Xenopus tropicalis: one gene and its partner. The protein of the gene in region 2 purifies or fractionates together with the protein of the main gene of each other region. This does not show direct contact. Links are inferred from orthologs where the notes say so. Each region holds a gene or a part of one and is shown on either strand. Other genes may lie near its edges.

Region 1 (16,056 bases), on a different chromosome or scaffold from region 2:
AAAAGAATTCTCTGATAAGAGACTGCAAATACTACTCAGTTACCGTCGGTAACGGCAGCGTGTTCTGGGTGAAGCAAAATATAAAATTGTAACAACGACATAAAAAGTTCTATGAATGTCAACTGAATCGTAGTACAGTCCCGACAAGTGGAATTGTTCTGAACATCGCATCATAAAAACTAGCCGGTCCATGTTTCCCTTTACAGGGGTGTAAATCGATGTCCATAAAGGTAAGAAAACTAAAACGTCATGAAATAAAGCAACATTTTGGTATCAAACGCTGGGGTCTACATTCACCTTCAGCTCATTGCTAGGCTTCTCGGAAGCATTAGTCCTTTTGGTTGCATGCTCCGGAGATTCGCTGATCATTCCTAGACTGGAGAAAGAGGCGGCGCCACAATTTGACTTTTTTCCTGAAACGTTCTTTTCCGTGCTCCCGCAACACTGCTTTGGCGCACACTGAGTTCTGCAGGACAGCTCACACAGGGAAATTCTTGATCCCGATTCCACGCTTGAAAATTCCGGCTGGATGGTAGTGGCGTGGATGCCTTCGTCGTGAAAGAAGTCTTTAATACGTTTAGCCACGTCCATGTAAGCGGTAGGATCATGGCACTTTATGTGCGCAGTGGCAATGATGCGGCTTTCGGCTAGCTGCCAGACGTGGAGCTCGTGAACGGCTTCCACACCGTCTAGGTTTTTCAGTTTCTGCTTCAGGGACGATATGTCAATTTGCTTAGGAACAGTTTGCAAAAGGATCAGGGCGGACTCTTTCAGAAGTGGGTAGGTGGTGTACAGAAGAATGCACACCATGATCACACACAGTGAGGGATCGAGGTAAAGCACCCAGCAAGGCCCAGCCATTTGTATTTCAGGAGGTGAAGAAGTGTTGTCTGGATTCGAGGAGAGAGCGGAGACATTGACTTTTTTATCACAGTGGTCTTCTACACAAGGATTAATGCAGCCTTCGTCGCTTGGACACGGGTTAAAAACAAAGTAAAAGACCAAAGCATTTAGCACCACGATAACCGAACCCAACGCATCTCCAAGAACGTGCAGGAACACCCCACGCATGTTAAGCTGAGTGCCATCTTCGTGGATTTCTGGCAAGTTGTTCTCAATGACGTTTCCATTTACTCGACCGTCTACGATATTCTCTGCCAAGGCATCTGTTACAGGAGGAAAGAACAGAGATGCAAGTTAAATATTTCCCCTGCTACTGCAGTATGTGTCAGTTACGGAAATATATGTACCACGTAATGCCTCCTACACGAAGATATAAGGATATTAAAGGAAAAGGAAAGGTTCATTGATGGGGGGAGCAAATGTGAAGCACCTATCGCTTATGGAAAGAAGGGAAAAACTGGATTGCCCGTTTCCGTGTACCCCAGGTTGGTGCAGTTTTCTGCTAACAGGAGCACCAGCTTGGGGTATCAGGTAAGTAATTACAATCGCTGAAGGGGTGCCTAACATTTGGCACCCATAAACCTTTCCTTCTCCTTAAAGGTCACCAAGTAGTTAGGTGACCATATAAAAGTGCGAGAGAGAAAACAAAGCTAGGAATGCACAGAATCCTGGGTTCAATTTAGTATTTGAAGTGAGAACTAACACCTAAAAAGAATTATGGCTATAAATGCTGCACTTTATATACTGGACTCATTGATGATCTAGGCCTTTAAAGTTGTCCTGTGGAGGCTTCCAGTTTGGATCTTCTTTAAAAGTGTCTGTGGCACTGCACATGCTCACAGTGCGCTCTGGACAGCTGATCGGAAGATAAACTTATGGAATGTCGGGAATTATTATGCAGAATATGAGGTCACTTCTGTTGGAAGTCGGTCCCTAAGCTAACATTATTGACCGCAGCCCAGAGCATGTGGTGGGAAAGAAGATGGGGGGCTACTGGGGGCATTTTCAGAAGCACAGATCTTCCCTGCTAAAGGGCCATGGTAGCCTTGGGCTGGTACAGGAACCCAGATGTAATGTTCAGCATTTATAGCCTAATTAATGTTAAGGTCCCCATACACGGGCCGATTCTAGCTGCCTATATCGGACCCTTAGACTGATTCGGCAGCTAATCGGCCCGTGTATGGGCACTACCGACGGGCCTGCCCGACCGATATCTGGCCTGAAATCGTCCAGATATTGATCAGGCAGGTTAACAAATCTAGTCAGATTGGGGACCGCATCGGCTCCCCAGGGCCAAACGATCGAATTACCCTGGATTCTCCAGATATCGCCCACCCGTAGGTGTTGATATCGGGTGAAGATCCACTCGCTTGGCGACATCACCAAGCGAGCGGATCTTAAGGTGTATGGGCACCTTTAAGCTTTAGTTCAGGGCAGATAAAATCACTTTTTCCCCCCACACAGTGCATCCCAGAGGAACACTGTACAGGGTGGAACTGGACAGTACAGTAAATACCTACAGAATAATATGCCGCTCCCAGACTGCAATGGAAATGGCTGACACCGCAGTTATGTTACCCATTAAGCATTATGTGGTGTCACTAAGGGCGAGGCTCAAAGTTGAACTTCACTTACTGGCAATTCAGTGGCAGCCCAGAATGCTTAGTAGGCAACATAACAGCACCTCTCTGCAGTATCGGCCATTTGCACTTAAGGCTGTGGGGGGGGATACAGATGGAAATGCATAACCGCTTTTTATTGACTTTACCAATCGCTAATGACTGTCTATGGCATTTGCCAGAATACACGGCTTATTAGTCTGGGCCTGACTGAATCCGAACCCTTAAAATCACATGACTATCTTTCTTTGCAGGGTTTTGATCTAGCCAAATCCCAAAACAGTGGATTTGATGCATCCATAGATTACAGTGGCTTCCATGGGTGCTAGTATAGGGTGAATCACGTAAGTGGGTGCAGTTTAAAGGGGAGGGCAGAGTGGATATTTTTCCTGATCCATCAGCATCGAAGGAGCCCCTGGGGGGAAGAGATAGATAAAAGCACAAGGCTTTCAGCTGAGTTAGAGATGCCAGGTAGGAATAGAAGGCTACCGGACATCTTATTAATGTTATCCCATCCCTGATAGGGAGGACACACTTATAACATTCACCCATGACACTGACCAGACCAACCTCCCAACTACAACAAATCAATGTGTGATTCTGTAAAATCCCAGTCAATTGTTACGAACATAAAACTGTTACTGACAACCACAATTCCAGCCCCCGAGACAACCAATCATATCACTTAGTCGTAACCACATGTGTGGGGCAAATCACAAATAAATGGGATCAAACAACTGTGAAACAGGCTGCCGAGGGTTAATGAGTGACTTCAGGGATTGTATATAGAAGAACTAAGGGACATGGCATCTGGCCCAACGCTGAATGAATGGGCTCCTGGAGAAGACACATTCATCCCTAGAGAATGGCTCAGCATGAAGCAGGAGTAATAGTGGGAAGCGCTGTAGGCACGCTCAGTGGGAGCCAGTCAGGCAGCAGGGTCAAACTGATAGGGATTGCAGTTGCTTGTGGGACACAACAGTTGGAAATGACCCAGTTTGAAGCAGTCCAATAAGCAAAGCAAGCTGTGCATAGGATCCTAGCAGCTGTGCCGCAAAGGCTTATGGGGCACCTAACAGAGACTGCTCATCATTTCCTTCAGTCCCACCATTCCATTAGTCCCTGCTAGGGATGCACTGAACCCAGTTATTCGAGGGGGGTTAGGGGGGGGCGCGGGCCCTGGTGGGCCCTCCACACCCCAGTCCGACCCTGCCCAGTGCTGCCTACAATCTAAGATCCCTATCACACACACTATCACGAACCAATGAGCTTGTTGTGAGCCTGCATGGTTTTGGAGAGTGAAAAGAATCTCTCCAGTTTGGTATTTTAGCAGCTATATGGTTGCTAGAGTCCAAATTACCTTAGCAACCAGGAGTGGTTTGAATGAGGGACTGGTATATGAATAGGAGAGAACCTATAGAGCAATAGTTTTTTGGCTGTGGGGTCAGTGACCCCCAATTGAAAGCTGCAAAGAGTTAGAAAAAGAAGGCAAATAATTAAAAATCTACAAAAAAATAAATAATGAAAAGATAAACCACCCCTTTAACAACTTGTATTTGGGAGCAACAAGCATCAAAGAACAAAAAAAAGTTGTTGTGGTTAGCCACAAAGTGACAAGTCTTAAATCTTTAACCAGCAATCCGTGCCCACCGCGTTACACAGCAGCGCAGCAAATAGGGGTGTGCCGGCATTAACCCCACAATTTATAGAACACTGTTTAAAAAAACGACACCCTCCCCCCCCCCCCGATACACACACACTTCTGGCAGTTATTAAAGTGTAAAATAACATTTGGGAAAGAATGCGGGTCTCTGGAGGCATGTGGGAGAGATTATGCACTGGCTCTGCTTACACAAGAGGTGTATAAGTCACCGGGCCAACGTCACAAACACAAAACGGCATTTGTCATTTTGCACTCGGCCAAAACGGCTGCGACTTTGCACTCAGCGAGGATCCGACGCTCTCTGCCCATTTTGCACTCAGTTAAACACATGAGCGAGTGGAAGCTGCTCCCGGCACTAGAGAGAATGATTGTTCTCTTCAGCGCACGCTTATTCAGCAAATACTGGGGGTTTTTTTTTCTTTTTGTGCGTGACAAAAGTCAAGATACAGGGAAGTTTCCAGAAACAGAAGGCAGGGACGGCTCGAAGCGATGTATCATGATATTCTGGAATCTGCACTGAAGGCACAACTAGAGGAATAGAATTCAGGTCCAAAACACTAAACTGCATTCACTGAAACTCTGAGCTGTGAGGGTTAATAAGTTCCTCGATTACTTGGCATTTGCTCGTATTTACTTAGCAATTCTATTTGCTTAACCAATTCTTTGGGAGGAGATGCTTTCTGTATGTGGTGCCAGGCTGGGGCAGAATATTCCCAAGAACAATGGTGCCATACAGAGCCAGCCCTAGCTAGGGATTATTCTATAACCTGCAGCGACTTTGTGGGCGAGATTTCTAATCTGTAAAATGCACTGGCAACAAATGGGAAGAACCCCGAGGCTCAGGGGGGGCTGGATATTATGAAACATCTAATAAATGTTCCTTAGCCTACATGTGGCCCCACACGTTAAGATCCTCTTGTTTAATGAGGTCAGATATTGCTAAGATGGGCGATATCGGGCTAAATTGATCATTTGGACCTAGGCCCATTGGATTGAGGACCACATCAATGAGCCGATGCAGTCAAACCTGCCTGGACAATTTTATCCAGATATTGATTGGGGAGGCCCGCCGGAGGGCCCCATACACCGGCACTTAAGCTGCCAAATCACTCCTAAAGTAGTTGAAATGGTAGCTTAAATCTGCCCATGGGTGGCCACCTTTACACAGAGGATTAGGGACCTTATCTGGCCAATATTGACCAGTCATATTAATGCTTAGAACTATGGAGAAAAAAAATTCTGTTGCTTTTAGAGAGAAAGGGTCTAAAGGAACATAACTGTGGATTCAATGGTCCAATATTAGGCTGGAATATAACAGACAGAATAGGAAGGCCACTGCCATAGGTGGGTGTAAGTGAGGCTGAACAGATGCAATAGGCTGATAGGACTTGCAGTAGGAGGATGAACTACATATCAAGTGCAGAAGGGGCATCATTTGGCAAGATGAGATAGTAGGGACTAAATATACCCCCAATGTACAGGGCCATGCAGAACCCAACTAAACAGGGCCATTAGGGGTTGGGAAGTCCTATTTGTAGAGGGTGGGATCCAAACAGCACATGGGGCCTGCCTCAGGACCATTAGATACAAAGTCATGGCCAGTGTGTGTAGATGATGGGGAGGGATACAGGGAGCAGAAGCCATAGGTGCTGATCCACAAGGAGAGGAAAGCCCCACCCGTGGCCCTGCAGCCTACAAAGAGCTGAATGGAGCAGTCTCAATGGGGTTAAACTTGAAGCTTAACTACACCTGCCATAGGTAGAGGGGCACTCGCGGGACCTGCCATAGGTGGGGGGGGACACTCATGGGACCCGCCATTTTACCTGTCATAGGTGGGTGACACAAGCAACCCATGGGACCCCTGGGGGGGGGGGGGGGTTACAAGAAGCCTAGAGGGTGACTACCAGGTGCTGAATGGAGCTTACCAGGTGGGGTGGGAATAATAAATGAATGGATAAATGGATGCATGAAAAAGACTTGACTTTTGTGACAGAAGGGACCCCTATTGGTACTGTCACACAGCAGCTGGGGGGACCCCTATTGGCACTGTCACACAGCAGCTGGGGGGACCCCTATTGGCACTGTCACACAGCAGCTGGGGGACCCCTATTGGCACTGTCACACAGCAGCTGGGGGACCCCTATTGGTACTGTCACACAGCAGCTGGGGGACCCCTATTGGTACTGTCACACAGCAGCTGGGGGACCCCTATTGGTACTGTCACACAGCAGCTGGAGGGCCCCTATTGGTACTGTCACACAGCAGCTGGGGGGACCCCTATTGGCACTGTCACACAGCAGCTGGGGGACCCCTATTGGCACTGTCACACAGCAGCTGGGGGACCCCTATTGGTACTGTCACACAGCAGCTGGGGGACCCCTATTGGTACTGTCACACAGCAGCTGGGGGGCCCCTATTGGTACTGTCACACAGCAGCTGGGGGGCCCCTATTGGTACTGTCACACAGCAGCTGGGGGGCCCCTATTGGTACTGTCACACAGCAGCTGGGGGACCCCTATTGGTACTGTCACACAGCAGCTGGGGGACCCCTATTGGTACTGTCACACAGCAGCTGGGGGACCCCTATTGGTACTGTCACACAGCAGCTGGGGGACCCCTATTGGTACTGTCACACAGCAGCTGGGGGACCCCTATTGGTACTGTCACACAGCAGCTGGGGGACCCCTATTGGTACTGTCACACAGCAGCTGGGGGGCCCCCTATTGGTACTGTCACACAGCAGCTGGGGGGCCCCTATTGGTACTGTCACACAGCAGCTGGGGGACCCCTATTGGTACTGTCACACAGCAGCTGGGGGGCCCCTATTGGTACTGTCACACAGCAGCTGGGGGACCCCTATTGGTACTGTCACACAGCAGCTGGGGGACCCCTATTGGTACTGTCACACAGCAGCTGGGGGGCCCCTATTGGTACTGTCACACAGCAGCTGGGGGACCCCTATTGGTACTGTCACACAGCAGCTGGGGGGCCCCTATTGGTACTGTCACACAGCAGCTGGGGGGCCCCTATTGGTACTGTCACACAGCAGCTGGGGGGCCCCTATTGGTACTGTCACACAGCAGCTGGGGGGCCCCTATTGGTACTGTCACACAGCAGCTGGGGGGCCCCTGGGCGAGTCTAATGCTGGGGGGGGGGGGGATCGCTGAGGCTATGGGGGTGCGGGCCCTATAACATGTACCCCAGCCCGGTGTCTCACCGTGTTTTCCCGGCATCCCCTCCGCCGCCGCGGCTGCCAGCGAGTTCCCGCAGTTCTCCACCAGGATGTTGGTTTCCTCCCGATCCAGGGCGGCCGATTCCCCCGCTGCTCGCTCCCGGGGTCGGTGCGATTTCTTGGCTCCGTGCGAGTGTCCGTGCCCCCCGTGTGAGTGCCCGTGCCCCGCACTGTCCCGGAACATACACAGCCCAATGAGGTTAATGAGCAGCCCCCCGGCACCCACCCCCATCACTACCAGCGGCTGCTCGATGGCTTGGGGCTCGGTGAATCGCTCGATGGCTTCCAGCACGATAGTGAAGCACAGGGCGGTGAGGAACACGGCATTGACCAGTGCCCCCATCACCCCGGCCCGGATCCAGCCGAACGTGTTCTTGTCCGTAGAGCGGGTCTTCTGGGCGAAGCGCACCGCCACTAGCCCGACCACCAGCGCGATCACGTCCGACAGCATGTGGAAGGAGTCGGACAGCATCGCCAGCGAGCCGGTCACCCGACTCACCACCACCTCCACCACGAAGAAGATGAAGGTCAGGGCCAGCATAAAGAGCAGCCGCACCCGGCTCGACTCCCACATGGCTGCGCTGCTGCTCCGGCTACCGAACCCACAGTCGGAAGGTCGCTGCGGCTTAGAAGCAGCGGCGGCGCACGGTAGCTTCCGCCTGTCAGTGGGACGGGGGAGGCGAGCTGAGGGCGAGAGGACCGGGGACCGGCGGCGCAGGCGGCTTCTCTCTCACTGGGCATCGCTGACGTCCGGAGGAGGAAAATAACAGCAACTTTTGCACCCGAAACCCGTCTTTTCCACACGGAGCGAAGCCGGGGGGCGGGGCGCGTCCCCTGGGCCACACCCCCTAGCTAAGGTGTGATTGGCAGGGGGCAGAGTGTAGCTTCCTGCAGCCTAGCAACAGGCGCCATTGCCGGGGCCGCGGCCTGCCCTCTCATTGGCTGAGGAGACGCACAGGGTGACGGACAAGATGGCACCGAATGATTGTCCTCTCTGTGCTGGGCTGTCATGGAGTTTTACCTACCAGGAGCCACATAGATGGGGAACATTCTCCCAGTCAGGACCCGAGTGAAAAATGGGAGGGCTGGCGGTGAAGGGGAAGATTTAGGGATAGGTCTGGCTTTGTAGCTATTGCTAAATGGCAACTTTAGTCCTGTTCCTGAGATCCTAGGAGCTTCCTTTTTAGAGATTATTATTTATTAACATTTATTTATAAAGCGCCAACATATGCCACAGCGCTGTACAATAAGTGGGTTTTATACATTGGACATACAGAGTAACATATAAAGCAATCAGTAACCGATACAAGAGGTGAAGGGAGCCCTGCCCAAAAGAGCTTACACTCTACAAGGAGACATACAGAGTAACATATAAAGCAATCAATAACCGATACAAGAGGGGAAGGGAGCCCTGCCCAAAAGTGCTTACAATCTACAATATTATATACCTGTTTCCCTTTCTATTCTTTATACTGCTATTTCTGACTCCTGAAACAATGTAGGGTAACCAACTCCTGCCCAGCCAGGACTAGAAGCATATATATATAATGTATATTGCAGGTCACGCCCAGAGTTGCAGCTTTTGTCATTCATAGAATAGAGCACAGAAAACATTGCTTTTCTATTTTACAGCCCTGCTTGCATTCCTTAGGCCTGTATTGGGCTAGCAGTGTAACAGCTTGCTTATATATGTACATTGTGCTTGTACCTATGGCCTTGCCCAGACCCACACAGGTTGCGTGCGACTCTCCCCTCTCACATACTGGGGGGGTAGGGGCGCTGCTACCCTGCAAGTTACCAGGGGTGGCAAGAAAATGTAAGAGACGAAATTCAATCTATTAAACTGAAATTTTGTCTCTTTTAGCGCACAGAGTGCTAGCGCTACGGTACAGATTGCGCTTTCTGCACTAGTGATGCACTTTGACCCACTCAGTCACTTCATTTGTGAGGGTGGGGGGACAGGCTTTCCTAAAATTAAATATAAACTGTTTATTAGCTGAATGGGTCGCACTCTCAGTTAAGGTGGCCGTACACGGGCCGATTCTAACTGGTCCCTTAGATTCGGCAGCTAATCGGCCCGTGTATGGGCACTAATGACGGGCCTGCCCGTCCGACATCTGGCCTGAAATCGTCCAGATATCGATCGGGCAGGTTTAAAAATTTAATCGGATCAGGGGCCACATTGGCTCGTTGATGCGGTCACTGAACCGACGGATGCCAATACCCATAATTCTATCGTTTGGCCCCAGAGTTCGTTTGCCCACCTGTAGGCAGGGATATCGGGAGAAGATCTGCTCACTTGGCGACCTCACCAAGCGAGCGGATCTTAGCGTGTATGGCCACCTTTACTCTTACACTTTTGGATGTAGTGCACACAACACCCCAGTACTCACAGACTGGTGAACTAGTTCCGCACTAGGGAAGCACATAGTGGTGTTTTACTTCAGGACCTCCCAGGTACAATTGCTTACGTAGAAACAAATAACACATTATTTAGAAATAGTTCAACTTAACTTTTCATGTTTATTCCAGTCCAGTCCATTCAAAGTCCCAATACCCTCAAGGAATTATGCGCTTACCCCCATATGCTAAAAAAAAATAAAGTTTGCCCAGGAGCAGTAACCTATAGCAACCAATAAAAGGTTTGCTTTTAAACCAGTGACCTGTAAATGATTCCTTCTGATTGGCTGTTATGGGTTACTGCTTCTGAGTAAAATTACTGTCTTTTATTATATAACCCTGTTTGGGGCATCCACAGGGTGCGGATCCTACACTAGAGTTCTTCACATTTGTACATAAACATACAGAATATAAAACTTTGGGTCAGGCTTCTCCATGTTCTTACAACTTACCATATTATTAACAGGACCCACAGGAGTAACTACGAAGGAAGCAGACCCTGCAACTACAAGGGGGCCCAGGAGGTATAGGGGCCCCATAAGGCTCTAATAATTATACATTTTTATTAATAATAAAACAGGTCAACCTCTAGACATTCTGGGGGTCTAAAAATTAATTTGTTGTGGGGCCCAGAAATATCTAGTTACACAAATGACAGGGCCCCAATTATTATCCCTTTGGGCAAGCCTATTAAAAGATCCAAATGCCTCCAGCCCAGCCTGACAAACACAACTGGCATTCTGCTCATGGGCAAGGCTGTGTTTAGGTCCATAGCTAGACTAGGCACCGGCCTAAATGTGCCCCCTAGTGGACGGAAGTGATGTAACGCGTGTGCGTGACGTCAGCACCAGATGTAACAAAACTTTGTGCCCCTAGGCACCCCTGGCTGCTTGCACCCTACCTGCCCCCCAATCCCACACTTACACCCTGACTGCTTGCACCACCCTCCAATCACTGCATAATGTCACATATTCCCTGCCAACGCTCCTGCCACATGTTTCTATGTGTTCTTCACTGGTGACTGGGAGTGGTGGGCGATATTGGGCTAAATTGATCCTTAGGGCATAAGGGCCTATAGACCAAGGACCACATGAACGAGCCTATGCAGTCCTTAATGCAATGGAAAATCAAACCTGCCTGATCGAGATCTGGGCAATTTTAGGTCAGATATTGGTTAGGCCTGTCGGGGGTGCCGATAAATGGGCAGATAAGTTGCCGAATTGATCTGAAGGATCCGAATTGGCAGCTAATCTGCCGGTGTATGGCCATCTAGGTGCTACTAAGCAGACAGTATCACACATGCTACTTTTTGCATGATATCCTTATCCTACTATGATTTGCTTTTTACTACCTATTGATAAGCTGTCGAGCAGTAACTTTTTAAATATGTTATTATAGGATTTTAGAACAGTGATCTTCCCATTTTAGCTCAGAATGTTGGTTAATTTATTGGGGGGTCACTCAACAGCTGAAGATCTTCATTTTTCCTGAAAATCTCATTTTACATTGTATTTATTACAGGCATAGCAAGTTCTGAAAGATAAGATGGCTGCGTGCAAGCCTGATGTCAGCAATGGAAATCTGCTGAGGAAGATAAAGGGAACATGGCTCAGCACAAGCTTTATCTGAGGACTTCGTCATTCTTGTTTGGGAGGATCGCTGCCTGCAAGGACAGTACAAAAAACAATACATTGGCCAGATGAATTGTGGGTTCTGGCAAATGCCAGAGGGGCTGCTGTAAGATGCCATAGACAGTCACTATTTATTGGGCTGGTGGGGGGGCTGTTTGGGCCTCTGTGTAATTGAAATACCAGGGCCTATTTTGAATACCAGTCTGGACCTGCACTAGTGCTTCTGCCAATACAAGTAGCATAAAAAAACGGTATCAGCATCTGATTCAGTTACGACTATGGGCACAAGCCATTAAAGCTTACCATGGAGCAGGGCTTTCTAAATAGAAAGGGGCGTAATCCGTAGTGTTCAAGATTGGCTTTACAACAAACTTTGGTCAGGTACAAAACCAGATCCCAACTGGCATAATGGTATGAGAATGCTGAGAGTCTATGCAAGTAGCCTTATCCATACAGTGGTTCTTATAGGGAAGCATCCCCAGGTTACCCAAACCCATAGGAGCTAAGCAGAGCCCATGTGAGGGGCAGAGGATGAAGAAAGCAGAGTGAGAGCCTGGGGGACCCTGGTTTTGGGGGAGAGATAGACAGTACAGCCCATTTGTTTATAGTTAACATGTGCCCCCTTCCAGGGGCTCTTTAGCTGGGAGAGGTGTATATCTTCTTGCATTTGGAGGAAGACTAGAACTAAATCATTTTCATTCTATGTCCAAGGGCTAGTAGGCATCATACACAGCAGTCATTCAACATGTTCCTTTCATAAATATATTTAACAATTTCTCTTAGTATTATTATTGTATAAACATCAGTATCCTAATGTGCTTTGCAATACATTTTATTTGTTTTTATTGTCACATTTTTTCCTTTTTTAACTCACAGGTGTGGAATTTGAACGGCTCTCTGGCTTAATTAACCTAGCAGCCATACAGCTATTAGAAAGTATAGGAGAGAGGGCCAGACAAAATAAGAACAACAATAAGGTTAAAGCCTTACCTTTTATCGTTATTTTGGCTTTTGGGATCAGCGACCCCCTCAGTCACCTCCATATGTTTTCAGTTCCAGGTTTGAAAGAAGCAGAATAAGAAGGCTAATACATCAAAACCCATAAACGATACAAAATGAAGAGGTACTTAGAAAAGTGAACTTCCCCTTCATTTATCATCTTAAAGGATATATATATATACTGTTATACGCATTTGTGTGAGAAAAGAGGGAATAATTCATTTTTTTCAATGCCTCCGAATATATGAATCTGGGTGATTTTTTTGCCCATTTCCCTATTCAGCCCGGCTCCCACCCTGTTCCACCCCACCCATCCTCCACACCCACTAGGGATATAAATACTGTGACTGGGGATTGGGTGCATATGCTGCTAGAAGCTCCATATTTTCACTTGTAAGTGTAACCCTTGGGGTTGCAGTTACCAAATACTGAAATTGTACAGCGCTGTGGAAGATGTTGGCGCTTTATAAATAAATGTTAATAATAATACTGAAATGAAATATTCTGCTGACCTAATTAAATTGGTAAGCTATTTGACACCTTGCCAGTAGGTGTCACTGTATCTTTCAAGCTTTCAGAACATTTTAGTTCCTTTTTCAAAAAAATGTTCTGAAAGCTTGCTATGGTTATCTTAGTTAGCCAATCAAGGTATCACCTATATACCACTTTTGTTATTTTTTATTTCAAAAGGGTTACCCTGTAAACATTTTTGACCGGCTAACACGGTACATCACCTTTTCCTGTATCTTTCAAGAAATCCCTGATCTGTGGAGAGACCAACAACCCCTGTCTCTGGAGAAAGAGTTTTAGAGGACTACTTCTTTCTGATTTTTGGGAGCTACAGGGACTGCTACATTGGGAGAGAACCCATTGTTAACCTTTATAGAGGGTAAGACCCCAGGGGAATCCTCTCTTAGCTGTTAGGATTAGCCAGCTTGTGTTGTGGGTCAGCACCCACTTAGTGCCCGTCAGGGTAAGCAAGCAGCCCAAAGCTCCAACAGAAGGTTAGTGGGTTAGTACCCTGGTTGTACACAGGAGACACCTGGAAACCCACAATAGGGGCCTTAGCGATAAGGAGGGTGTTTCTTTATAGAGAGGATTGCCATTCTACAAGCAGTGTTCATTGGCAGACCTGGCTGGGTGTGACCATAGAGCATTGCTCATATTTTTTTTTAAAGGTTATATTGAATTATTTACTGCTGTTTTATTAATTCACTGTCACCACTGTAATGTTATCCTTCAGTTGCTGCATAAATAAATATACCTTCTAAAGAATTCTTGGCACCCATTACTTTTCAATTAAATTTACACCACAACATTTCTGATAATCCTCTCACTACAAACAAAGGGCCCAGCCCTGAGTGAAAGTTCCTGGTGAAGACACAGAGCTACTAGTAGCAGCTACTTTTTCACGGCTACTAAACCTCAGAAAATCCCCTGCCATAGACAATACTGTGAATTGCCTCTGCTTAAACACATGTAGAGACAATTATCAGTAAATGATCAGCACTGTCTATTTTAGTAGCCACGACAAGTAGCTGCTACTAGTAGCTCTATGTGTCTTCGCCTTTAGGGCTCTGGCACACGGGGAGATTAGTCACCCGCGACAAAACTCCCTGTTTGCGGGCGACTAATCTCCCCGAGTTGCCATCACCTGCCATCCCACCGGCGAAAATGTAAGTCGCCGGTGGGATGGCGCACGCGGCGGCGCGATTTCAGGAAATTGCCGAAAAAGCCTTGCGGGGCAACTAATCTCCCCGTGTGCCAGAGCCCTTATACTGATGGTGTAGGCCTCAGTTGTGGTGGGTCAGCTGTCCAATGGTACTATACCTTATCAAACATATCTCAGGTAGATGAGATTGTACAGTGAGGAGCATCATTTATCAGCTTTTTTCCAGTATTGGAAGTGGGTCATCTCCAAATAAATACTATCATCTTTCTAATTATAAAAAGTAATATTCTCAGGAGAATGCAATGGTACTTTCCTAGGGCTATCTTCTCCACTAACCCCCAGGGTTCTGTTTTGTGAACATGGCATGAATAGAAACTGTTCCGTGAACCCCTCTACCCAAAACCCAGCACGATTGGGGCAGTCCTCGAAGATGTGGAAAAATGTAATTCCAAACTCTAATATTTACTTTTTATTAAGTCACAGGGCCCACAAAATGGATTTCTGATGGTGAATCAAAGGACATGACGCTGCAGAAATGTTATATACCTGGCTATAAATGGGTAGCATTTCCTCTTATATTCCCAGACAGGAAATGCCCCAAAACACTGGCACAATCAGATTCTTCTTATTTAGATTTGTCAGCATCTTGTGCTTCATTACATCTTGTGGTTATATCCCTGATGTTCTGTATTGTAGCATGCAACTTGGATTGAGCAACACCCTTAACGAAACAAGTGCAAATCACTTAATAATCCTTTTTTTTTTTTTTTTTCTATAAAACCTCTTCTTAAACAACGTCATATGAAATGAGCAGTTTCCTCAATAAAGAAATTTACCATGTATAAATAAGAAAATGTAATACAGCTATGGGACCTGTTATCCAGAATGCTTGGGATCTGGGGTTTTTAGGATAAGGGATCTTATATAATTTGCATCTCCATACTTTTTATACAAAAAAAATCATTTAAACATTAAGTAAATAGGATGGTTTTGCTTTCAATATAGATTAATTATATCGTAGTTAGAATCAATTACAAGCTACTGTACTATTTATTGGGCTGGGGGGGGCTGTTGGGGCCTCTGTGTAATGGAAATGCCAGGGCCTATTTTGAATCCCAGTCTAGGCCTGGCACAAATAGAGGCAGATTTAATCATTTCTTAATAGTGGGGAAAAAAATTGTGACTAATTTTGTTTTTCTGTGATTGCTATTTTATTTGAGAAAAAGCTCAAAAGTGTTTAAATAATTGTGTTAAATTACAGGAATAAAAAAGCCGATCACAAACAAAAGTCTTTTTGTTTCATTCACTTATAATGAGACTATAAAATCTAATTTTAATACTTGGATACTCTAGCATTTCCCAGAACTCACAGATTGCCAGTCAGGGCCTGTTTTGTTCTGTCCAGTTAGTCTGGAACGAAGAGGGTTAACCTGCCTTTCAGGCCCCTGTACTGGTGAAAGAGTAACAAAGGTATATAAATAAAACTGTACCATAATGAAAAATATGTTTGTCAGGGATAGCCTTCCTGGTATGACAATTGCCCCTTACATTCCAGTCCCAAGCCTGTGTAAATCATTAACTGAAAATATTTGTGCACATTGCTACATAAGGGAATTATGTATAATATGAAAGAACTGCCTGGTGCCCTTATTGTGGATTTTAATGACATGGCAATGTCACCAGCCCAAATGCCATAGTCACTATTTATTGGGCTGGTGGGGAGCTGTTTGGGCCTCTGTGTACTTGATATGCCAGGGCCTGTTTTTCAAAGGGTACAAATAGCAGATTGTCTGCTTTTGTACATAGTTGGTGGAAATCAGATCCACCTTCTTTTGCTCTTTTGTATCTGTATTGACAGACCCGGCGTTCGCCTGTGTGGAGCTACACAGTGTGGAGACTTTACACAGACTGATGCTGGGCTTGTCTATGGAGCTAGA
Region 2 (16,054 bases):
GCATGTGCTAGCAGCAGCAACTTCCTCACCCTTACATGGCAGTTTGCTTACTTCCAATCTTTATATCATATCTGGAATACCCCAACAAAAAGAATTCTCAAACCTTAAACAGCATGGTAACTGCAAAAAGGATTACTTCTTATACATGTCTAATCTATTTCCAGTGGTCATGTGCCCCTTTGAATAAAATTTGAAACATTAACACAGATATACACTTTGTACAGCAGTACTATCCCCCTCCTCATTCTTGTACTTGTTTGTTTTCAGCAGGACACTTTCAAAAGAATTTAAAAAATCCCACTCTTCTCTCCTGACATACCTCACCATGCTGCCCCATAAGCACTGCCTCAAAGACCAAATCAGTGTTACTTTTAGTGTACCAAAAGAGTAACTTGGTATTAGGCTTAAAGGAGAATGAAAGGCTAAATCACTGGGCCAAATGTTAGGCACAGGTGATTGTAATCACTTACCTGAAACCCCTGGGGTTAAGGCTGATGCCACACGAGGCGTAGGGCTGAAATTTTCGGCAAGCATTTTTCCACTTGCCGAAAATTTCAGCCCTACGCCTCGTGTGGCATCAGCCTAAGGCATGTGAGTGTTCTTCTTTCCTTCTGCTTTTGACAAGATCCTGGGGCCTGCACAGCTGAACAAAAAGCCAGCTTTTTTGTTAAAGTTCAGCTTTCCACTCCACTGCGCGAAGACCGAAGGAGGAAGAAGATTGCTTTGTTGCATACACCTGGTTTAGTTTTCTCATAACAGGAGCACAGCCTAGGGGTTTCAGGTAAGTGATTACAATCACTGGGGGCTGCCTAACACCCCCCAGTGAGTGTAATTTTCCTTCTCCTTTAAGCTTAGGAAATATCTTGGAACAAGCAAAGAGAAGTTTTCAGTATCAGAAAAAAACATTGTTACATTCAAAAGGCAATATTTAATCATGTTGTATCAACATTTTGAGGACCTGGAGTCCTAAATGGTTATATAAGAACAAACGTATCCCTTATCTGGCACGAAAAAAAACCCAACTCTTCCCAGTGGGAAAGCAAATGCGGCGCCAACAATTCCCTTTATTGCTGGGAAAGCTTTTTAGGGAGATCTGTGACCTGTGGTACCAGATATTCAACCGCAGATAACGAAGATATTTTATATGGAACTAATGCTGCAACAATTAATTTAGAGTTAATTTTGGTAAGGTCTTATTGTCTGTATAGTTTATTTTTTCGGTTCTAACTTCCCTTCTGGCTAATCAGCTTCTGGCTGCTGACATGCATTTCAAAATAAGGTAAAAAGAACTGAACAGACAGTTATGTTAAGCAATGAGTGGGTAACATAAATATCAGGAGATCTCACAGTGCGTATGCAAAAGCAGACACTCACACTTATTTATCACTTCTAAATGTATGTATATCAGAGATAAGGAATTAGGCAATAGATTAGACAGAGTGTGATTGTGTTATCTTAAACCTCATAAGAAGGGGGGCTAATTGGGTCTACCAATGAAAAAAAAAACTTTAAAGTTCTTTCTATTTTTTTTTTCCACGAAAAACTGAAAAGCTTGCCACCAAAAAAAGACTGCAAGTGCCATTAAGTCTCTTTATTCATATACATTTTAAAGGAGACTAAACATTCCACATATTTCCCTAAATACCATGCCTGCCCTCAAGTGAATCGCTGAATCAGTTTTATAATATTATATATATATATATATATATATATATATATATATATATTACACATAAATACACACACCACTTCACAGATGCCATTTATGTTGCTTGGACTTTTTGTCTGTCTTTTGTCCATATTGCCCTGTGCTTCCTCACAGCCTCTGGGCATGTACCTGCTTGTTATAATTATTTATTGCGCAAGTCAGTTTCGCCGCTGCAATAAAGTGAAGGGAGGGGGAAAGCTGCCATAGATTAATGCTACTCTGTGGAATTCGATTCAGTCAGGGGCAGACTAGAGGTATTGGCTGAGGTGTTTAAAGGTTGCACACATCCTGGGGTTTAGTTCCCCTTTAACCATTAACTCAGATAAGGAGCTGAAATATGTTAATTTCCTTCCATCATTTGCAACTTAAATATTTGTTCACACTATAGGAGAATTAATTAGCAGTTTCAAACAGATTTTTGTCACATTTTGGACTAAACTGTTGCAAAATAACATGATCTCTCGAATATTTCCCATCGCTCTGGGCAAGCACCCCCTAGAATTGGGAGATCCAAAAAAATATGGTGACAGTCTTGTTTAGCATTTAGTTTTATACACTTAGGAGCAGATTTACTAATCCACGAACGGTCCGAAGGCGTCCGAATGCATTTTTTTCGTAATGATCTGTATTTTTGCGACTTTTTCGCCGCCGTCGCAACTTTTTCGTATGTTCAGCGACTTTTTCGTCGTCGTTGCAAAAAAATCGGGTTAGTTTTTTCGCTCAATTCGAAAAAATCGAGACGGCGTCGAAATAGTCGCGCAAAATACGCTAAAGTTGCGACAACTACGAACAAGTCGTGACGGCGACGAAAAGATGGCAAAATTTTCGTTTCCAATCCGAATTTTTCCCTTTCGGGATTCGGATTTGTGGATTAGTAAATCTCCCCCTTAATCAACATTATTCCAAAAGTGGCCATGCACTGTGCAATCCGCTTATTTGGTAATATGCCCACCTACGACGCGGTTCCCGATCCATTGGGAAGCAGGTACATGCCCAGAAGCTGTGGGAATATCAAACTTGCCCGACAGAGATCTGCCAAATTTTAGGTCACATATAGTTGGGTAGGCCCGTCGGGGGTGTCCATACTTAGGCAGATAACCTGCCCAATGTATCTGAAGGACCCAAATCGGCAGCTGAAATCTGCCCGTGTATGGACACTTTATAGTAAATTTGTTCACTCGCAAAGGAAACTTGGGGCAACTAGACTGTATGCTTTCCCAACAACCGTTGAAGGGACCCATACATGGACCAATAAGCTGCTGTCGGTATATTTTATCAGCCTGTGTATGGCCACCTTTAAGCACAAAGTGTAATGTAACACCTATTTCACCTTTTTTCCCCATTGTGAAGTGATAGAATCTGAGACTTACAGTACCTCTATTTTTTAAGAATCAAAGCAGCACCCACAATGGAAAGCAGAGGGACATCAATTCCCAGAGGAATTACACTGTGAGAACAAGGGATTCTCGGTTATGTCTGTGTAAAAAAAAAAAAAAAAAAAAAAATCTTGGTAGTTCAGACAGTGTCTATGCACATTTTCTACATTAAGCCATGTGGCAAATAGCATCCCCGAGCTTTCCTTATAACATATTCCAAATAATTTAGTTTTTTAGCAAACACACTTTTCAAAATGACTCAGCATTTATATAAAGTCATTATTCTGATAGCACACACTGATTATACGTGGCCAAGAAAGTCTAGAATGAAACAGCATCTGCTTGTAATTTCTGGTCTGCCTGACTTCACTGTGGAGGAGGGGAGCGTCTGTGGATCAAGTTTTTAAACCCATGAAGTTTTAGCTGCTTCACCCCATTTGGCATATGAAAAGGCAATAACTTGTGCTTAGGCTAGCTTTACACAAAGTAAATCTGTATATGTGTGTATATATCTGCAGTTTAGAATATGTTATGACACGGGGCAAATATATCTCCTTCCCCTCAACACAAAAAACAAACAAACAAACCTGAAAAGGTGGTGACAAGTCTAGCATCTGATGGTGCTTCTATTCTTCCACAATAAAATCAAGGCGCATCAAATTATACTGCCTCTAAATAAGCCTCCAGTTCAATCATGATTGAAGAAGGGAGTGGGAATAGCTGAAACTCATGCCACACCAAACTAGACATATATCTACCCAGACTTACCAGCATCTGAAACCAATTACCTGCCATATGTCTTATAATATCAAGGTGGACAAAATTATACTGCTTCTAAATAGATTGGGGGTATTTTGTGAAGTGTATGAAGAATGTATGCTATGGGCAATAGCTGAACCTCAAGCTTTTGTTGTCCCGCACCACATATTCTCTGTGGGTCCCAGCAGGTGAACATCCTGGCAGAGAACTCTACCTAGAGCGGATAGGCTAATATCAATCTGTGCCAAAGCATGCTTACCATTCTATATTTCTTCCAATGAAAGGGTGATGCGCCTATACAGCACCTACAGATTTCTGACACATATCACAAATCTATTTGGCTATAAAGGCTGTGGAACTTATTATAGAGCAGACAGCAGAAGTGTGAGAATGTAGGGCATAACTATTAACAGCAAATTTTCACACCAGAATTCTAAGGTCTAAGGTGGCGGGAAATAATGGTATCATTATCTGCATAAGGAAAAAAATACACACATTATATTTATGTAATGGATTATTTCTGTGGAGATGCATGACATTAAGTCCTTATAAGGACTAAATCAAAGTATAAAAAATGTCCTGACTATTTTCCACCAAATGTTAGATCATTTTATTTGCCTACAACATTTTAAATGATGTTAACTAAACAGATGATAGATAGTAAAGGCAGATATAGATATGGCCAGTAGTGTCTCTTACCTTTATACCTTTTAATAACAAAAGTTAAAAATAGAATAGCACAAGACCTTGCCTTGTGTATTTCTGTTATAGTATAATTAAAATCAATATCATATAAAGTTTTTTTATGTATTATTTGCCCATCATTGTACCTCAAAGTTGCTTCCTTCATAGCGTATTCCAGGTGTGATCATTGCTAGATGCCAAGTGAGAAATTCCTACTGACTGACTCCAGTTCTTACTGCTTCTGCCCCTGTAACTCAACCCTACAGCAACGTAAGTAAAAGTGCTGTGTGAAGCATTTCTACTAGCACATAGACCATGACCACAGGGACAAGCACAGGAAAAAGGATTAACTCGTTACATTTGCAAAACTAAAAAGCAGAGAAGAAAAAAAAAACTGTACACACAAAGGCATTTTGCCTGGTACAGAAATGGGATCCATTTAACCAGAAACCTCAGGTCTCAAGCGTTTCACATAATAGATCACATACCTGTAGTCTTGTTGCACCATGTTTAGCAGCTTGTCATACACTCACCATGATGAAAAATGAAAAAGCCCGACAATAAATGCAATAAAATATTATAATGGTGTCAATGGCTGAATAAAACACATAGAATTTAAAAAAAAGCCTAGAAATATTTATTTAGCCGCAAAAATAACAAACCACAAAATGTCAATTAAAACTAGGGGGCTATGAGGTCTGTTTACTAGCAGCTACGATTTTAGGGAACCAGAAAAAAATGGTGTAAAATTCGGGGGAAAATTTAAAACCAGAATATGTAAAACTGAGGTTTCACTGTATCTGATCAGTCAACAGAACAGTTACCAAAAGAATTCTCAAGAAAGGAAACTCACATGTGAACTAAACTATTTTCTTTCCAAATTTCTGCCAACTGTTCTTTCTTGCACCAAGCTGACACTTCTAAACTTAAGGCTACTAAACACTTCCCTCTGCTAAATTATGTACACAGCAGTGGGAGAAAAAAAAAGCAAGCAGGGTCCTTTTATTCACATTTAACCACATCAGAGGGTGAAGGGCAGTGGAGGGGGTTATGTAAAATTATATTTCTGAGCAGCTAGGCATTACTGAATCAGTTCCTTGCCACACCAGATAAAGTATAAAAGCAAGAATAAGAGCCCCTTATTTTAGGCTTACTTTGCCAAATTAATATTATTGTGGCGATTAACTCAAAGCTGCAAGCATAGAAATTGGGGCAATTAACTCAAATAGAGAAATTCTGAAGGAATTTTGCCAGGGTTTAAACCTAAATACCATGAGTCCCATGGGTACCCACTGCATCTCATTCATCTCACAAAACACACAAGAATCACCTACTTTTCCCTCCAGAAGTGAAGTTCAAGCCCACAAGTAAAATTTCTCACTTTGCTTTGTTATTAACTCTCTGCTAACAGAATAAAAAGATTCCGGCAGACAACTCTGTGCCACCAGCATAACCTCCACTGATCAGCCTAAATATATTTGCTCCTCAATATTATTCATAAGTCTTTATAACGGCCCAAAATATTAGGCAGGGCTCTAACATACATCTTCCAATTACATGTACTGCAATCATAAAACCTATTTTGTCACCGCTGTGCACTGAAAAAAAAGGAATTAGGATTAAAAAAATGCACCCAATATAAACAGACATTTAATGGCTCACAAAATCATGTGTTTAATACATTCCTCCCCAGCTTATTTTGTTATACATGTATGGGACCTGATATCATCGTTAGTAAATATGAGCAGGCACTCTAATGAACACAATTTGATAAATCTGCCCCTTAGTCTATGACTAACTGTTGAGAGAACACGAAACACACAAAACTGCTCTTATGTGTGCAAAACAAAATTTGGGCCTGTTTGGAGGACTGCTCATTGGAGTTCCTGCTCATATTTACTACTGATGATATTCACCCCCTAAGCTAGTAAGTTACCATTTGTGGACATTTGTCTGTTTCTATAAGGGATCTGATATCCAGAATGCTCAGAACCTTGGGTGTTCCAGGTAAGGGGTCTTTTTGTAATTTGGATTTCCATCCCGTTAGTCTACTAAAAAAATAATTTAAACATTAAATAAACACAATAAAATTGTTTTGCCTCCAATAAGGATTTATTATAGCTTAGTTAAGATCAAGGATAAGATACTGTTTTATTATTACAAAGACAAAATCATTTTAAAAAATTTTAATTTTTTTATTAAAAAGGAGTCTATGGGACAGACGTATGGGACTAAGCTTATTGGATAACAAGTTTCCAGATAATGGAACTCATACCTGAGTATGTATTGTATTTGGTTCGTCACATGCATCAAGCTCTAAACATTATTAGTAATTAAAAGCTCTGGAGTCACTGAAATCAAGCTGGTTATACACTACACGGTGAGATAATGTAAAAACTTTTTCTAGCCTGTGATAGTTGCTAGAATCTAGAAGATTCTGCATAACATGGTATGACTGGAGCAATTGCTGGTGGTTCCAGGAACTTTATTTTCTGTGGGAGGGGTACAATAGTTATTATAATACACAAATTTCAGTGAGTCATATACATAGTTAAGTTGGGCTGAAAAAAGACCAAAGTCTATCAAGTTCAAGCCCTCCAAGTGAACCCGGCACACACATAGACCTATATGTGACCTATCTATACACTCACATACATAAACCATATATACCAACATGAATACTAACTGTAGATATTAGTATCACAATAGCCTTGAATATTATGCTTGTTCAAGAACTCATCCAGGCCCCTCTTAAAGGCATTAACAGAATCTGCCATCACAACATCTCTAGGAAGGGCATTCCAAAACCTCATTGCCCTCACCATGAAAAAACCACCTAAGCTGCTACAAACAAAAGTTCCGTTCCTCCAATAAAAAGGGGTGGCCTCTGTTGCACTGATTCTTTTTATGGAAAAAAGAACATCACCTAATCATGACCCCTCACAAGCGCCTTTTTTTCCCAGATAAAACAACCCCAACCTTGACAGTCTAACCTCATAGTTTAAATAATTTACTTAAAATTGAGCATTACACCACCAAACATTGATTAATATAGAATAATCTTGTGGGTTTAAGCCAGGTAGGGACCACCTATTCCTCTGCTCCTGTCTTTAGCAGCATTCAGATAAGCACATAAATCTTTATCCACATTATTGATCTGTTTTCATTTCTATTCAATGCCTTTTGCTGAAGAATAAACACACTGTTCAGCCAAAACTAATCATTTTATAGAAGTGGATGAGGCCTATATACAATCACGTGTAATAATTTATAAAGAGCTGAAGTGCATATTAGTAACGCGCGGGTCAAGAAAAACTGCTCACAACCCGAACCCTACCCGATACGGCTCTTCTCCCCTCTATTTATAGACCCAGCGCCCACTATGATGGCACAAAAGGGGCGGGGCATGTCGGGGCGTGCCTATAAATACAGAAGCCATAAGAGGAAGCCGGCAGTATTAGGTCGCCGGTGGAGAGAGAAAGCAGAAGAGCTCTACCCAAACCTGCCCTCGACACGCAAGTGATGTGCCGAAGTCGGCCCAAACCTGCGGATATCAGGCGGCCCCCGGACATCACTAGTGCATAACACCCCGCACACTGTCACTGTACCAAATAATCTGCCAAGTGCTTTTATACAGATTACAGAACTCCAAGGTACAACAGGTGCTACATTTGAGATAATACACAATTTTCAGTTTGAGTCATGTGACAAATTACATCACTGAACACTGATTAAAACTGATGACATCACTAAGCATCATCTAAAAAAAATATAATTTACAGGATATTCACTGTTTCTGTGTATTTTGAGGATAAAAATGTAGCCAAGTGGATGCCTATTTTATTACACAAATAACTGTTTTGTAATTTTTTCCAAAACACATTTCTACTGTATCCAGAGTTTGTCAGGCACACAAAATAAAATTTTGTTTGATGATATCTTTTGGCAGCAAAATCATTCATAACCTGATGTACATACAAATTTTTATTTAGAGTAAATTACTGCTACAGGCTATAAACTGTATGTAGTGAAATTTTGATCAGCAACATTAGTATTTCAATACTGGCGCAATCTTTTATGGATATTGTAAAAAGTATGGATTTATTTAATCAAAAGCAAGCATGTTTAGAGAGAAAAAAAAAGGTAAAATTATTAGCAAATCCTATGACTGGGTGTAAGAAACGCATACCACTTATATGGCATTACTCTGTATGTGTGCTATGTTGCTAATCTATGGTAATGAGATTCCAAAATAAACAGAATTCTAAAAATTAAGATTGTGCAAACTGTTCTTGTAAATAAAAAAAAAAGTGCTTCTGGGCACATTTTCATAAATAAACTAGTGTGTTTAGTTAAATCAAGGCCAGTTAGCAATGCACACAATGGAAAATAACGTCAGTGTTCTCCAATAAAGATGCTCCCTAACATCTGCATCCCACCTGTGTGCTGTGGCTCCAGCTCCATATGCCACTGAGACATAAACAAATGCCTGAGACCTGCCAGTGTACACTTTAACCAGTCAGTGTTACTACTTTAAAGGAACAGTAACGCCAAAAATGAAAGTGTATTAAAGTATTTAAAATATAATGTACTGTTACCCTGCACAGGTAAAGTTGTGTATTTGCTAAAGTAACAGTACTATAGCTTACATAAATAAGCTGCTGTGTAGCCATGGGGGCAGCCATTCAACCTGGAAAGAAGGAGAAAAGGCACAGGTTACATAGCAGATAACAGATAAGCTCTGTAGAATATAGTGGGGCTTTATCTGTTATCTGCTATGTGCCTTTTCTCCTTTGAATGGCTGCCCCCATGGCTACACAGCAGCTTTGTTTATATAAACTATAGTAGTCTTTCTGAGGCAAACACACCAGTTGTACCAGTGCAGGGCAACAGTACATAATATTGTAATTACTTTTATACACTTTCATTTTTTGGTGTTACTTTTCCTTTAAGTTAAAAAAGGGATCTATAGATTATGCAGCAGCAATTGATTTCCTATGATCCATTCACATTAATAGACATAAGTGCCAGTTAAAAACAAATATCACTTAACAGAAATAAAAATCTGCAAAGCACCTTGTGTTTTTCAGTTATTTATTATCACAGCAATTATATAAATGATGCAGTGTGTTACTGCTACATCTCTCCATGCTGAGTTGGGCTATATGTTACCAATTTAAAAAAAAAAAAAAATAGAGAAAACCAGTGTCTACTACACTTAACTATCCTTAAACTATATTTCCCATGAGCCACTGCCAGCCTTAACAGGCGATGATTTGTCTTAGCTGAAATATAAGTTCTAGGAAAGCATCTCTCGCTTTTTTTTAAAGGAAAACTGATGGTTACAGCCATTTATTAAAGTCAGATACATATATGGCCGCCATGGGGGGGCAGTCGTTCCGGTCCCTGTAGGTTTTGGGTCTTAAAAAGGACATAGCTATGCCTTACTTACTTGGATTATCGGTTCCCCTGCTGTCAATGAGCTTCGGAAAGGAAAGCAGTTGCTAGGGTGCCCACTTGTTCTCTCCTCAACAATCCCACAGCCACAAATCTCATCACGCGAGACTGGCGTGACAACTGCACGTAAAGTGAGTGACGCATCACAGAGCCGCCTTGGGGGCGTGGCGAGTGGGCGGGACTCAGCGTTCCACAGTAGCGCACTGTTAGTGAGTTGGAGTGGCTCTGCTTGTTCGCTCTGCTTGCGCCTCCTACTTGTGTTAGAGAACAAAAAAGAAAGGACTTTTCTTTCCTGTTGGTTACCGCCATGCGCTCTGCCACCTTAGCTCCCAATTTCCCCTTGAAATAAAAAAAGTTTTTTTGTTTTTCTTTTATCAAGAGTGTCCCCTGCCATCTTCCACGATCAAAGTCTGTTCTCTTGAGTTGAGAAAAAAAAAAAAAAGAGTTTGTGCAAATTAAGGGCAGGGGAATTTGTTGTTTGTATATTCTGTGTTTATTGAATTTGATGTAACAGTCACACAGATTTATATTATGGGAAGTAGAAACAAAAGAAAGCAGAAGGAAAAGGAAAAATTGAGTCCTGTTTATAAATTAAAAGGAAGTAACTAAATTGGTTCCCAAGCTATTTATAACACCAAGGGGCACATTTACTAACCCATGAATCCGAATTGGAAAAATTCCGATTGGAAAACGAACATTTTGCGTCTTTTTCGCATTTTTCGCGATTTTTTTCGGCGCCTTTACGACTTTTCGGAAATTGTCGCGACTTTTTCGTTACCAATACGATTTGCGCGAAAAAACGCAAGTTTTTCGTAGCCATTACGATGAGCTCGTATCTTGTCACGACTTTTTTGTATTGAGCGCTCGTAAGCGGCGGCCGAAACTTTCAGACTTAGCATGATTTTGGAAGCCTCCCATAGGACTCAATGGCACCCTGCAGCTCCAACCTGGCCCAAGAAAAGTCACCATACTGAAGCTTGAATGAATCCGAATCTTTCGTACTCGGCGCGAAGGCTACGAAAAAGTCACGATTTTTCGCGCAAGTAGTAACGCTACGAAAAAATCGCCAGATTTTGCGCAACATTCGGAATGGCAACGAAAAAGTCGCGACAATTTTTCTGAAAAATTGCCAAATACCGATCATTACGAAAAAAACGCAATCGGACACATTCGGCCCGTTCGTGAGTAAGTAAATGTGCCCCCAAGAGCTGTTAACCCCCCCCCCCTAATTTTTTCATAGTTAAAGCTTTTGGCTGCACCCCAGTTGCCCAATAGCATTCTCCCGATTTTTCTGCAATCCTACGAACTTTGCATCAAAAAGTGGTGACGTCATTAGAAGCATTTGCTCATTCACGGGTAGCGATTTTTGGCTTCAATGGGGCATTTGCGTGTGACATCTCTTCTGGCATGGATTCCCCTGGGGCTGAATACAATATTTATTAGGAATGCACCAAATTCACTTTTTTAGATTCGGCCGAAACCCATAAAAGATTCAACCGAATACCAAACTGAAGCCGAATCCTAATTAGCATATGCTAGTTGGGTTATGAAAAGATTACATTTTCAACTTCCGTGTTTACATGATAAAAAGTCACGTGATTTTTAGGATTCGGTTGGCCAGGAACATGAATTCGGCCGAATCCCAAACCGAATCCTGGATTCGGTGCATCCCTAATATTTATGAAGTTTGCTTATACACCTTCTAATCTATGCTACTATTTTCATTAGCTAATCAATTTGTCATATTATTATTTCCACAAATTATCTCCTTGGGCAGGGTTGTCTTCCCATGGGCATCAAACTACATAATAGTCATTATCTTATTGTATTGAGTGAGCTGTTCTTCCATGAGACATATTTTATATATTGCTCATTCATATGACATCAAATGAGGAGCAAAGGCAAGGTGGATGGTGTTCAGGATATGCATTTGGTTAAACAAAGCTGAAAGGCAAAAACAGCTGCTACTGAAGTAGCTTGAATTCCAAAGAACTATTAGGGACTAGACATCTCTCTGTACTTATAAAAAGGCTTTTGTGTCCCTTTAAAAGCAGCGTTCCACATAATAGCCTCTCTTCAAAGAAACCACAACATCCTACTCTGTTTCACCTGCATAGTCAATTTCATACAATTTTCCCCAAATGATGGGCTACTAGTACTGGAAGATGTAGAATGGAGTCTGACCTTGAATAAGGCTTTTGTACATGGAAATAACCTCACAAACCTAGTCCTTGGTTTTATACTTCTCTGTCAAACTCTGGCCAAGATTCAGCCCTGTGTCGCATTAGACTATGGCCACACACCTCTAGTGGGTTTGCTGCTGTTGGCTATTTTATATATATATATATATATTAGTATGATATTTAACTGCAATTTTTTCTACAGATTAGTTAAGTAACCTGCTTACAGTAGTTATGTAAAGCATGATTGATAAGGCAGCAGAAAAATTGAAAAACCATACTATGTCTTTTGTTTAGCTCACATTTGGATTACACTAGCGAAGAAGTGCCCAAATCAACTGCCTCACAAATCAGTCACTGCGATCTCTGTGAATCACCTGCTGTACCAGTACTTGTGTAGCCACTGAACCAAGTCAGCTATTGTGCCAGCCACGTGTTTCTCATTTAACTGACTGTGGCGGACAACTGAAAAAATTCAGATTTGCAGCTAAACAGCCAAAATAAATAAATTAAGTCAAATGTTCACTGTTCAGTCAATGTGCACTGGGCATGGAGGGCAGCCTGCAAATTGTCGGGAAGTGTTGCTTTCATCCGTCGATGCCCTTTGGAAAAATAGCAACATTATCTTAGGGACCTGCAGGACTTTATATATTGGCCGAGACTTAAATTTAAGCTACTAGGAGAAGTCGGGCACAAAGCAGAGGGCCAAGACATTCAGCTCTTTCAGTATCTACATCTATGGCAATACTTCCAAGCAGGAATGGGAGGAAGCAACAGACTGTCTGTATGGGGATCTAATTTTACTGAGGGACAGACTTATACAATTTAAGTTCCTTCATCAAATCTATATCACTTCACTTAGATTGGTAAAAACTGGGGCGAAATCCTGGCGCACTATGCCCCAAATGTGAAGAGAGCAAAGCTACCTTCTGTCACATGGTCTGGAGTTGTTCCCAGATTGTCAAATTCTGAAAAGGAGTTATAGATTATAAGAAATAGCCTTCCCTGGCCCTTATTCCCCAGAGGTCTGTCTACTAGGCCTAGTGGATGACATACTACCCCTTCTTAAGACCAGGTCACTAGCACAGGCCTTACTCTTTTATGCTAGAAAACTTTTGATAATTAAGTGGATGGTGCCCCAAGCCCCCAATGTCCCTGACTGGGTATCAATGGTTAACAAGACACTCCCCTTAATCAAATTAAGCTATGAGCAATGACACATGGGTTGCTTCTATATTTCTGCACAGCTACAAAGGATACCTACATGTAAAGTCTTTTTTTTACATGAAGCAATTCCGTAAATGACATTACACCACTACTTATAGCACTTAAAGAGAAAATATAACCCCCTTCTCTACTTCAGTTGGACTTATGTGCATAAACATTATCTAAACTTCCAGATATAAATGTGTATACATGTTAATGTATTAAAGCGGACCTGTCACCCTAAGAAATAAGTCCAAATTATTTTCTATATTGTTAGTTGAGCAAAATAAACTTTACTTACTCTATAAAAATAATATAAACCTTGTTTCCTTCCGTCTTGGAATTACTCAATCAAAGCAAGCAGGCAGGCGCCATTTTGTGGACACTGTTATTAAGGCAAGCTTTGTATCATGCCAAAATCTTGTTTATGTGCCAGAATGGGGGACCAGATGCCCAGGCCCATGCACTGGCTACACAGGTAGATGAGAAGGAGGGAGGGGAAAAGTGAGATGTGCAGTGACATCTAGGAAGTGCTGAATGGAAAGCTAAAGTTATTGTCTGCCCCGCCTCTATGCCTAAGGCATAGAGGCGGGGCAAGCAATATATGATTGACAGCTGGGATTTTTATATGCCTTTATAATGGGTTTGGATGTGTAAATCTAAAAATGAATTTGGGTTTCATGTTTAATTTGAACAGGACTTCTATTATACAGATTTTCATGTCTGGGTGACAGGTCCACTTTAAAGGAGAAGGAAAGGCTAAGTCACTTGGGGGTGCCAAAATGTTAGGCACCCCCAAGTGACTTAGATCACTTACCTTGTACCCTGGGCTGGTGCCTCTGTTAGGAGAAAAAAGCACCAGCCCAGGGTACTTGTAATGAGCGCTTCCTTCTTCCTTTTTCTTCTGCCGGCGAAATCCGTGGACCGGTGCCTGCGCAGTAGAGTAAAAAGCCAACTTTCTTGTTTAAGTTCGGCTTTTCACTCTACTGCGCATGCGCGTGCAAGCGAATAGGAAGTAGGAAGCGCTCTCTGCTACCCTGGGCTGGTAATGTTCTCTTCGTACAGGGGCAGCAGCCCGGGGTAAAAGGTAAGCGATCTAAGTCACTTGGGGGTGCCTAACATTTTGGCACTCCCAAGTGACTTAGCCTTTCCTTCTCCTTTAATGAAGTACTGCGTAGTAATGGCAACCTAACCATTACCTATAACTTTCTATGGGTCATTTCTCGGGGTGGGGCTTAAAAATGTGCCCAAAATGTGCTCAATCCATGCTTTACTCAGAGAGTTGGATCCCAAGAAAATGCACCTAAGGGTATTTAGGAAATTATGTTCAATGACAGACAAACCTCTTTTTCTATTATTTATACACTACTGTTTATGAGGTTTTGTGCCACAAGGCTCAGGAACAAGCAGTGGTCTGCTGCTGCCCTAGGCACCAAACCGGCAGCCCTACTTCCCTTTTGTTGACTGTCACATACTGTATGGTGTATATTCTGTGCATGCTCTCTTGCTCTGAACAGCATTGCCTTTGTATTTAACAGGGGCCCTCTGGTGTCTGTATATAAATATGGTCATGACAAGACTGCCCACAAAACATGTATATATAGTTTATGTATGTGATAGTATAAATTGGTAAGTATAGGTTGTGTGTGCTGGGTTTAAATGGAAGGGTTTTACTAGATGGACTCTGGTCTTTTTTCAACCCTATGTAACAATCAAGAAAAGTATGATTTTATATCAGATGTGGAGTAAATTTGGAAAGGAAAATATTCCAACTGTCCAACTGGAGGCAAATGGGCCAGATGTGGCCCTCCAAAGGATATTTATGGCACGTAGTCTGCTTAAAGGCTCTATAGACTCAATGCCATCATCATTTAATTTAATCCAACCCTCGAACATGCATATGAGAAAAACAAGGCCCAGTAAATGTAATGAGTTGGACATAACTGCCTTGAATAAGATTAATTTGGAATCAATCTTATTAAAATAGATAACTCTCCAACATCAATAGAGAAGACAGCACTAGCATAGCTATCATTTGTAAAATGCTGGGTCATAATTGTTGCAGATCAAAATGTTAACCATATTTTATCCATCTGCTGCCAAACCTTTGCTTTTGTATCTGGGAAACCATTCTTGGATAAAAATACAGAAAATGTAGATTGGGTCTTTTGTAAAGATTATTGGGTTCTCCATTATGCCATATTCTTGTTATGTTGCAATTTGCATTCTTGCTCCAAATATCTTGTCTTCTATGAAGCAGTGTTAAATAATCATAATATAACGTTGGCATACATTATTTCCAATAAGAAAAACATTTTTTTACAAAGACAAAAACCATGAATATAGAAAAATAAGCATATTGTTTACTGTATGTGGCACTCTCACTGGCATGAACAAGAACAATTTATAAGCGAGTAAGGTAGGTGAACTGACTTCTATCTTCTATGAACATTACAGAACACAATAAACTGATAATGATCAAACATGTTTAGTGACAGAAATAAATGATACTTAAAAATTATCACAAATTACATTTTTGCCATGGTTTTCTGTTTTTAGAATTGATGTATTGTAATACAGCTCCTAAATGTTATGGCTAATGAACACTATATGAGCAAATACAACATAAAGTTTTTTTTTGTTTTATTATTGTGATTGTTTACAGAGGATCTGATTGTAATAAA

What was found.
Region 1: the proteins of csgalnact2 (region 2) and slc30a1 purify together in Homo sapiens (co-immunoprecipitation; 3 studies listed by BioGRID and IntAct, counting the BioPlex papers as one, with this or other methods). This does not show direct contact. The link is inferred for Xenopus tropicalis from reciprocal best matches to the Homo sapiens genes CSGALNACT2 and SLC30A1.

What each region holds. Positions count from the first base shown.
Region 1 is NC_030681.2:14,910,663-14,926,718, reverse strand, and holds the start of slc30a1 (zinc transporter 1), read right to left. Parts: upstream 8,164-16,056; 5' UTR 7,992-8,163; coding exon 7,403-7,991; intron 1,167-7,402; coding exon 274-1,166; 3' UTR 1-273. UniProt on the Homo sapiens protein: Zinc ion:proton antiporter that could function at the plasma membrane mediating zinc efflux from cells against its electrochemical gradient protecting them from intracellular zinc accumulation and toxicity.
Region 2 is NC_030683.2:50,284,667-50,300,720, reverse strand, and holds the start of csgalnact2 (chondroitin sulfate N-acetylgalactosaminyltransferase 2), read right to left. Parts: upstream 10,112-16,054; 5' UTR 9,980-10,111; intron 4,793-9,979; exon of another isoform or gene 4,674-4,792; intron 3,185-4,673; exon of another isoform or gene 3,084-3,184; intron 1-3,083. UniProt on the Homo sapiens protein: Transfers 1,4-N-acetylgalactosamine (GalNAc) from UDP-GalNAc to the non-reducing end of glucuronic acid (GlcUA). Required for addition of the first GalNAc to the core tetrasaccharide linker and for elongation of chondroitin chains.